Arabidopsis thaliana: one gene and its partner. The protein of the gene in region 1 interacts with the protein of each later gene in a pairwise test. Each region holds a gene or a part of one and is shown on either strand. Other genes may lie near its edges.

Region 1 (3,972 bases):
TGAGTTCCTCCGTCACTAACCAGTGCGGACCATGTCAGTATCCAAGCACCCACACGCTCGTCGTCTCTTGAAAACATCTCACACAAATACACAACGGCTCGGACTAATAACTTGCCATCTAAGAAAAGCTAATTGACCTAAGGCTTTGTGGCACCTGCATGTAAAAAGCAAACACGAATTTGCCACGTTATTACAAAGCATACCACGTCACCGTCTCACTGTTACACTATCTCTTGTTCTCCTTTATTTCGCTATGGACAACAAAAATTATAAGGTGGGGAAGAGATGTCTCAAAATACTTTTTTATCGTCCTCTCAATTTATGTAACTGATAATAATCGAAATAGATAAATTTAATTGTAGGTTGACAAAGCGCTAATTTTAATAAAAACATATATTAGTTTGGAAAATTTTGTCGTAGTAAGTAATTAAACCTATCAATCTTGACTAATAATTTCAAGTATCCCATAAAAATCAAAATTGTCCTTAGGTTTTGAAATTGTACTACTGATAGTACGTAATTAAACAAACAAAAGCTATAGCTTGTGGATTATAGCTAATCCCATTTGGCGATGAGAGTAATATATATATTGTTCAAATAAAGTTGTAATTAAGATTCGATTGAAAAGGTAAATTATAGTTTAAGAAAAACAAAGAGAGGAGACAACAATTAAAAAAATGAAAAGTGGAGAACTGTACTCTCGCCTATACGAGGAGGTCATTATCTCCAAGGCTCTCAAGGATTAAGGACCATGCTTTGATTCTATAAATGTTGTTTTATTCAAACTATTTATATTATTATATCATACGTAATATGTGGTTAGCATTTGACCCACGTCCCCTTAATTAAGTCTAGATTAATCCCATTAATCTATCCAATTAATAATTAGGAAAATTTTATATAAGATTGCTATTGGATTTCTCGGTGGTGGTTTAAACTATAAAATAGTAATGCCTTTGATGCGTGTGATTTTTTATTGGAACTTATTGGTTTTAATTCTTAACCTAGCAATTATATTTGTAGTAGTTTATGTTAATCATTGTTTAATAATACTCCTATAATAACTCTTGCAAGTAGCAACACTTGTGTGGCTATTTATTCCAGAGTCCATGGATATGTATGTATAAGAAAATAGGAGTGCTTTTGCAGATTGAAGAGTTTGTCTATAAAATCATGTTTACTTGGCATTTAGTGTTATTGTTTGCAATTTTTTATTTTAAATTAGTCGGATATTTTAAGTTAAAATCTGAATACACAGCATGTTCCTTCTAACGTTTTTTAACATAATTGTAAACTAAAGAAAAATTATAATATAATAAATTAAATTATACCCTCTCTATTCATTGTAGAAGATTTGTTTGTTTCACCAAATGTGTTTTTTTTTTATAAGTTGCTCTCACTCTTGAGAGTTTTGGAGTATTTTGAAGAGGACGAGGTTCTTTTGTGAAAAAGTGAAAGAAACAAATCATGTCAAGAATTAGAAAGAAATCATGACAAATAATTTTGTTTGTGCAGAAATTACAAATGAATCATAGATATCCTTCTAATTCGGGATCGGAAACCAGTTGAAAAATCGATGGACTAAGCTTTCTATATTGGGACTAGCTTACCCTTAGAATTAGTCAAGCAGCTTAAATCATCTATGACTTAAAATTATAATTAAGAAAAAACAATGCCTAAATATGCATATATTTCAAATGTATCACATAACTTGTGACATAAGAAAATATAAACAAAACAAAAAGGGCAAAAAAGACCTGAAAGCTTAGAGGCACACCTGCATAGGTCCCACAGTTCACTCGTGACACCGTAAAAGGCAAAACACGAACCCGCCACGTTATCACAAAAAGCAAGCCACGTCAATATAGTCTCACTGTCAACTACACTTAACTTACTATTTTCACATCTCATTTTCCTATCTTTATATAAACCCTCCAGGCTCCTCTTTAATTTCTTTACCACCACCAACAACAAACATATAAACCATAAGGAAAACAGAGAAAGAGAGAGATGGAGGACGACAATAGTAACAACAACAACAACAACAACGTGATCGCACCTTTCATCGTGAAAACATATCAGATGGTCAATGATCCTTCCACCGATTGGCTCATCACTTGGGGACCTGCTCACAACAGTTTCATAGTCGTTGATCCACTCGACTTCTCGCAACGAATCTTACCTGCTTATTTCAAACACAACAATTTCAGCAGTTTTGTTCGTCAACTCAACACCTATGTAAGTTAATTCATAACCGAAACTCATACATGAAACTGGAAACAGGGGATTACGAACTAATGATCCTTTCTTTATTTACTTTAGGGGTTTAGGAAAGTGGATCCGGACCGGTGGGAGTTTGCGAACGAGCATTTTCTAAGGGGACAGAAGCATTTGTTGAATAACATAGCGCGTAGGAAACACGCGCGGGGGATGTACGGTCAAGATTTGGAGGACGGTGAGATTGTGAGGGAGATCGAACGGTTAAAAGAAGAGCAGAGGGAGCTAGAGGCAGAGATTCAGAGGATGAACCGGAGGATCGAAGCGACGGAGAAGAGACCGGAGCAGATGATGGCGTTTCTTTACAAAGTCGTTGAAGATCCTGATCTTCTTCCAAGAATGATGCTCGAGAAAGAACGGACAAAGCAACAACAACAAGTTTCCGACAAGAAGAAGCGTCGTGTCACGATGTCGACGGTGAAGTCAGAGGAAGAAGAAGTGGAAGAAGATGAAGGGAGGGTCTTTAGGGTTATGTCATCATCAACACCGTCGCCGTCATCAACGGAGAATCTTTACCGGAATCATTCACCGGATGGGTGGATTGTTCCTATGACGCAAGGACAGTTTGGTAGTTACGAGACGGGTTTGGTGGCGAAGTCGATGCTCTCGAATTCAACGTCGTCGACGTCATCATCTTTGACGTCGACGTTTTCTTTGCCGGAGAGTGTTAACGGAGGAGGAGGAGGAGGATGTGGGAGTATTCAGGGAGAAAGAAGGTATAAAGAAACGGCGACGTTTGGAGGAGTGGTAGAGTCAAATCCACCAACAACACCGCCTTATCCATTTTCTCTGTTTCGAGGTGGCTTTTAGCGTTTAGCTTCACATGATATATGATCTTTAGACTTTATTATTGTTATATTATTATTATTATTTATTTTTTGTGTGTTTGTTCTTAATTATTTTATGTATAACCAAAAGAAAGAAAGAAAATAAGGACAGATCCATAGTTGAGTCAGTAGTCATCGTTTGTAGAAAGTTTTGACAGTATATAATTTCTGATTATATTTGTTAAAAGTTCATATGTTGACTTTGTTTTCCTTTTAAAAGTACTTTCAGGTGACTTGTGTAATATATTCACACTTGTAATAACAACAATTTTGATCTTCTTCACTACTTCAGTGTTTTGATTTTTGAATAAAGTATTATTGTAGCCTTATATCTTTGTAATAACAACAAAATATAGGCTTTACTTTTTCCACTTTAAGCTAGTAATTAAGTCTATATACCATTTCAAATTTATCGTTAATGGCCATCTTTAAACTAAACCATATCGAGTATTTGACTCTTTCTCTTGAAACACTTGTTCTCAAACACATTAACGAATCAGTTGACATGGTATATAGACTTACTAGCTTATATAACCCACATGCTTAAAGCTGATCATAAAGTAGAAGAAACATTGCCTATATATAACCCACGTGGTTAAGGCGACACAAGTCGGTCGACTGATAACAAGTCAACGAGACATCCATTCAAGATTCAAACGTATCATCAACACGACGCTCCACTTTCACTTTCATCTAAAATTGATAACATGACATTGTTAAATTTTGAGACGTGACAGTTAGCCACGGGACTTTGGTCGGCCAACAACGTTTCGAACACTCATTGGGCTAGAGAGAGAGAGAGTATAAAACAACGATAAATCTAAATTGGACCACCTGATGTCTCTCACACGAGGACGCGTGGTTATAC
Region 2 (4,722 bases), on another chromosome or scaffold:
TTACCCGACTCTTGGTTGGTTCGGCTTTTCCGTCATATCGGTCTCACACGTGGAAGAACCATGTCCGATGGTTCATTATTTTCAAAAGCTTACTCTTTTTTTTTTGGTGTGGCAAAAGCTTACTCTTTTAAATAAGATTGAGTTTTTTTTTTTGGTAACATACGCTTCTTGTGATTAAGTTCATTTAAAGCAACACAATAATTCTTGTGTTTTTTATTTGCATGTAAAGGTAGACACAAAACTCGAATCTAAAATCAATAATTTTATTTGTTTAGTGACTGATTTGAAAAAAACGCAGAATAAACTAACCTGATTAAAAAAAAAGAGAGTTTATATTGGAGCTTACTGAATTCTATCGATCTAAAGTATAAGATGACAAAAAATTCCTCGTATCATTTGGGTTTAAATATATGATGGGATGGTAAATGGTAATTAAAGCCAATAGTAATAATTTATAAAATAATAACGACAAAACGAAATAAAGGAAGAAAATTTGCAAGAATAACTAACAAAAACTTATAAATTAAGAAAGTAACACAAAACAAAAAAACAGATATACTCTCTATATTATATATAATAATGGTATATTTACCCATTTTTCTCCACCTCATTCTAAGTCCCTCCTTCTCTCTTCACCTCTCATCTCTTTTTCTTTCTTCTCTCAATCTTTTTTTTTTTTCTTTTTTTGTATCACATAACAAACAAACGAGAAGGACAAAATAGATTTTTCAGATACCACTTATGTTATCTGGTTGCTTGAGTTGCCAAGGTTGTATCTTAGGGTATAGTTTTTCTATACATCCAAAATAGTATAGTACAACATTTTATTTCTATCCAAAATAGTACATGTTTTTACTTACAAACACTATTTACTATTTTATAAATTCAAATCCGATTTTAAAAATTCAAACTATTTTGTATGTAGAAAAAATATAGGTTTTTTCTAATAAATTTTATAATTGGAATTTATTTTTTGGAAAAGATATATAACAAAAAAAAAACAAATAGGTGAAAAACTAAACTAAATGTTACTAAATCATTTTACCTCCAATTCAACACTAAAATTGTCTTTTCCTTATCCTTACATGCTATTTTCTTAATTTTTATATATATGGTACTATATTTTTAATTTGTTTGTCAAATATGGTTATTCAGCTAAATCACCCAATAGAGACTCAATAGAGACTGAGAGAGAGAAAAAGAAGGGTTTCTCGTAAAATCTCCAAATTCATTTGAACTTTCCCAAACATTGGAATATGTGTAAGTCCCATAGGAGTAGGACAGAGTCGATAGGGGTGTGATCCTAACATACCAGAGAAAGATCGTCGAATCCTCCATTTCTTTTTATGGCAACCATATTTTAATTATATACTACTATTTATTAATTTAATTGGGTGTGATTTTTACTTCGCGTAATATAAATATGCTTTTTCTACATTTTCCCAATAATTTTGTAAAAGTGTAAAGTCTCTACAAAAACATTGTTTAGTCCTCCTTTTTTGGTCTAAATATTTGTTTAGTCCTATATCCATATTTTGTGACACTACTAGTATTATAAAAACATAACAAATTCTCAAGTTACACTTCTCGTTTTGTTTGGGTCAACCACACAACACCACAAGTTTTACTTGTACAAAGTAATTGTTTGTTTATGTTTTTCTGTTGTATGTATTTTTTTTAATTGGTCAAAAGAAAATATGTTTTAAATAAAAAGGTGAAAAAAGGCCTATGGGATTGGAATAATAAGATAGAAAACAAAATAGCATGCTTTGCTTCCTCCACTAAACTTCCTTTAAGGGCAGAGAGAGAGATAAAAAGATTGATTGCGTGTGTTTCACACCAATAAATCCCTTTATTTTTATTTTTTGGTCTCCAAATTTACTAACTTCTAATAATTTCCAATTTTACCCCTTATTTTTCTTCCTTTGGTTTTAACCTATTCACTGCATTTCCTTGGTATAAAATCCAACTTCTTCTCCTTCAAGAATCTAGAGATAGAGAGAGAGAGAGAACACAAAGTGGGAAAAAAGATAAGAACCCACCATAAAGTTTTAACATTTTTCCCTTCAAAAGGCGAAAGCTTTTGATTTGTATAAAAGTCCCACTTAATCACCTCTCTAGCTTCTCATTCCATTTCCATCTCCTCTCTTTTGTTTTCTAAGTTGCTTCAAGAGTTTTGGATAGTGTAGCAGAGAGATTTTAACTAATGGGTTTATAAAATTTTGTTCTTTTGCGTGAACAAGTTGTCAACTTCTAGACAGATTTTCTTTTTGAAGTGTTTTCTTGTCGAAATTCTTCTTCTTTTGGTCAAAGAACGCAAGATTCTTCTGTAGTTCCTCTAAAAAAAATCCTAATGGAGGGTTATTCAAGAAACGGTGAAATCTCTCCGAAGCTGCTTGACTTGATGATTCCACAAGAGAGAAGAAATTGGTTTCACGATGAGAAAAACTCTGTTTTCAAAACAGAGGAGAAGAAGCTTGAGCTAAAGCTTGGACCACCTGGTGAAGAAGATGATGATGAATCGATGATAAGACACATGAAGAAAGAACCAAAAGACAAATCTATCCTCTCTCTCGCTGGCAAATACTTCTCTCCTTCTTCCACCAAAACCACATCCCATAAAAGGTTTTAAACTTCTCATCTCTTACTTTTTGTTTTTCTCTGTTTTGTATCCTTCTCACATGATGATATTCACTTGTTATTAGCCAATAAGGTCCCATCTATCTGCATAAACTTTGTTCTTGTCTGCTTAAGATTGGATCTCAAAACTTTTCATCTTTTTACCCTTTTCCCATCTGAAAGTTTCAGTCTTTTTACTGCCCTAGTTTTCCTCTGTTTTTAACCTTGAGATTGTTCTTGTCTTACTAACAAGTTTTGTTTTGATGCCTTTGTGTTTTAAAGAACTGCTCCTGGTCCAGTGGTGGGATGGCCTCCGGTTCGATCCTTCAGGAAGAATTTAGCTAGTGGAAGTTCTTCAAAGCTTGGAAATGACTCAACCACCTCCAATGGTGTTACCCTCAAGAACCAAAAGTGTGATGCTGCTGCTAAGACAACAGAACCAAAGAGACAAGGAGGCATGTTTGTGAAGATCAACATGTATGGTGTTCCCATTGGTCGTAAAGTTGATCTCAGTGCTCATAATAGCTATGAGCAGTTATCTTTCACAGTTGACAAGCTCTTCAGAGGTCTTCTTGCAGGTAAATTTGAAACCTTTGTCTCTCTATTGATTATGGTTAAAAAAGGGTTGAATTTTGAACTCTAATTGTTCTTATTTTATCAGCTCAAAGAGACTTTCCATCATCCATAGAAGATGAAAAACCAATCACTGGATTATTAGATGGGAATGGAGAATATACTCTTACATATGAAGACAATGAAGGAGACAAGATGCTTGTAGGAGATGTTCCATGGCAGTAAGAATCTTTTCTTTTCTTTTTCGTTTTTTTCTGAATCTGAGTCAGCTTTTTGTTCTATCTAAAGGAGAAGTATTAGATTCCTAGTCACATATTTATTATATCTTAATCACAGTTTGATTAATAACAAACTTAGTTTGGTTAAGCTATTAAAGATTGTGGACTTTTTGATCACTAAAATTGATTATTTCTTAAATTGTCAGAATGTTTGTGTCTTCGGTGAAGAGGCTGCGTGTGATTAAAACTTCTGAGATTTCTTCAGCATTAACATGTAAGTGTAGGATTTTAATAACATTTTTTAGTTGTTTTGGTGACTCTTTTAAGTGAAGTTCTTAGAATGTTTTTTTGTTGTTTTGAAATTTGCAGATGGAAATGGTAAGCAAGAGAAAATGAGAAGATGAAGAAAAAGATCTTTTACAGCTTTTAAAGAAGTAGAGAGATGTTATTAATTGCATTTTGCCTTTAAACTTTGATGAGTTTTTGGTCTTGGAAAAGTTTCTGATATAAGTCTGATGTACATTCTGGTTTGTTACATCTTCTTTTGGCTTTTGAGATATCATAGAGTTTTGTTGGAACTCAAAGACCAAACAGTGCAATGATGATTTTGGGGTCTTGAGTAAATTTACAAACCCTTTTAGGCATATTATAATAGTCTTCTGTTTTTAAGTTTTGGTAATGATTATTCACACTTGATCAACACTTTTAAGTAATGTAACTCTCCCTATGTCAGCAAAGCATCCTTTTCGAAAAACGGAGAAAAGAAACAATCTTTTTCTCTGCCAAAAAGCTCTTTAGCTTTTATTAAATCTATACTTAGGGTATCCGCTATTGTAATGAACTATGAGAGTGAAAGGTTTTAAAACATTGAACAACTTTTCTTTAAATGAGCTGTTAGGACAGATATTCAAACCATTGTCTAACCACATCTTTCATCTTTGTCTGGACTCTTGGGCAACAAAATTACAGACATCATTAGATTATCATCTTCTGATTATTGATCTACATATTTGATAATACTTGATATGATATAGTTTCTATGTATAATCATCTCTAAATTTATGTTTCTAGTTTAGCTTTTGTGTTTCGTAGAATAGATATATAAAATAAAGGGTTGTTCATAAGCATATGTATTCATACGATCAAATCGTTTAAAAGGAAAAAAGGAAGAAAAAATTGGTGGGTATGGAATATTGATAAAGAGAGTACAAAATAGAAAAATTGAAGAGAAGTCTTTTTCGTTGAGAGTCTTGCCTAACTATTCGAAGCAGCAATATGAGACCTTATAGTTACTTTTTTCCTTTTGCCTTCG

Evidence for each region.
Region 2: the proteins of HSFC1 (region 1) and IAA18 interact in binary tests that used the Arabidopsis thaliana proteins (3 or more experiments, as listed by UniProt).

What each region holds. Positions count from the first base shown.
Region 1 is NC_003074.8:8,939,445-8,943,416, forward strand, and holds HSFC1 (heat shock transcription factor C1), read left to right. Parts: upstream 1-1,621; 5' UTR 1,622-2,010; coding exon 2,011-2,238; intron 2,239-2,267; exon of another isoform or gene 2,268-2,322; coding exon 2,323-3,087; 3' UTR 3,088-3,430; downstream 3,431-3,972. UniProt on the Arabidopsis thaliana protein: Transcriptional regulator that specifically binds DNA sequence 5'-AGAAnnTTCT-3' known as heat shock promoter elements (HSE).
Region 2 is NC_003070.9:19,303,317-19,308,038, forward strand, and holds IAA18 (indole-3-acetic acid inducible 18), read left to right. Parts: upstream 1-1,764; 5' UTR 1,765-2,353; coding exon 2,354-2,625; intron 2,626-2,901; coding exon 2,902-3,197; intron 3,198-3,280; coding exon 3,281-3,413; intron 3,414-3,616; coding exon 3,617-3,684; intron 3,685-3,779; coding exon 3,780-3,814; 3' UTR 3,815-4,202; downstream 4,203-4,722. UniProt on the Arabidopsis thaliana protein: Aux/IAA proteins are short-lived transcriptional factors that function as repressors of early auxin response genes at low auxin concentrations.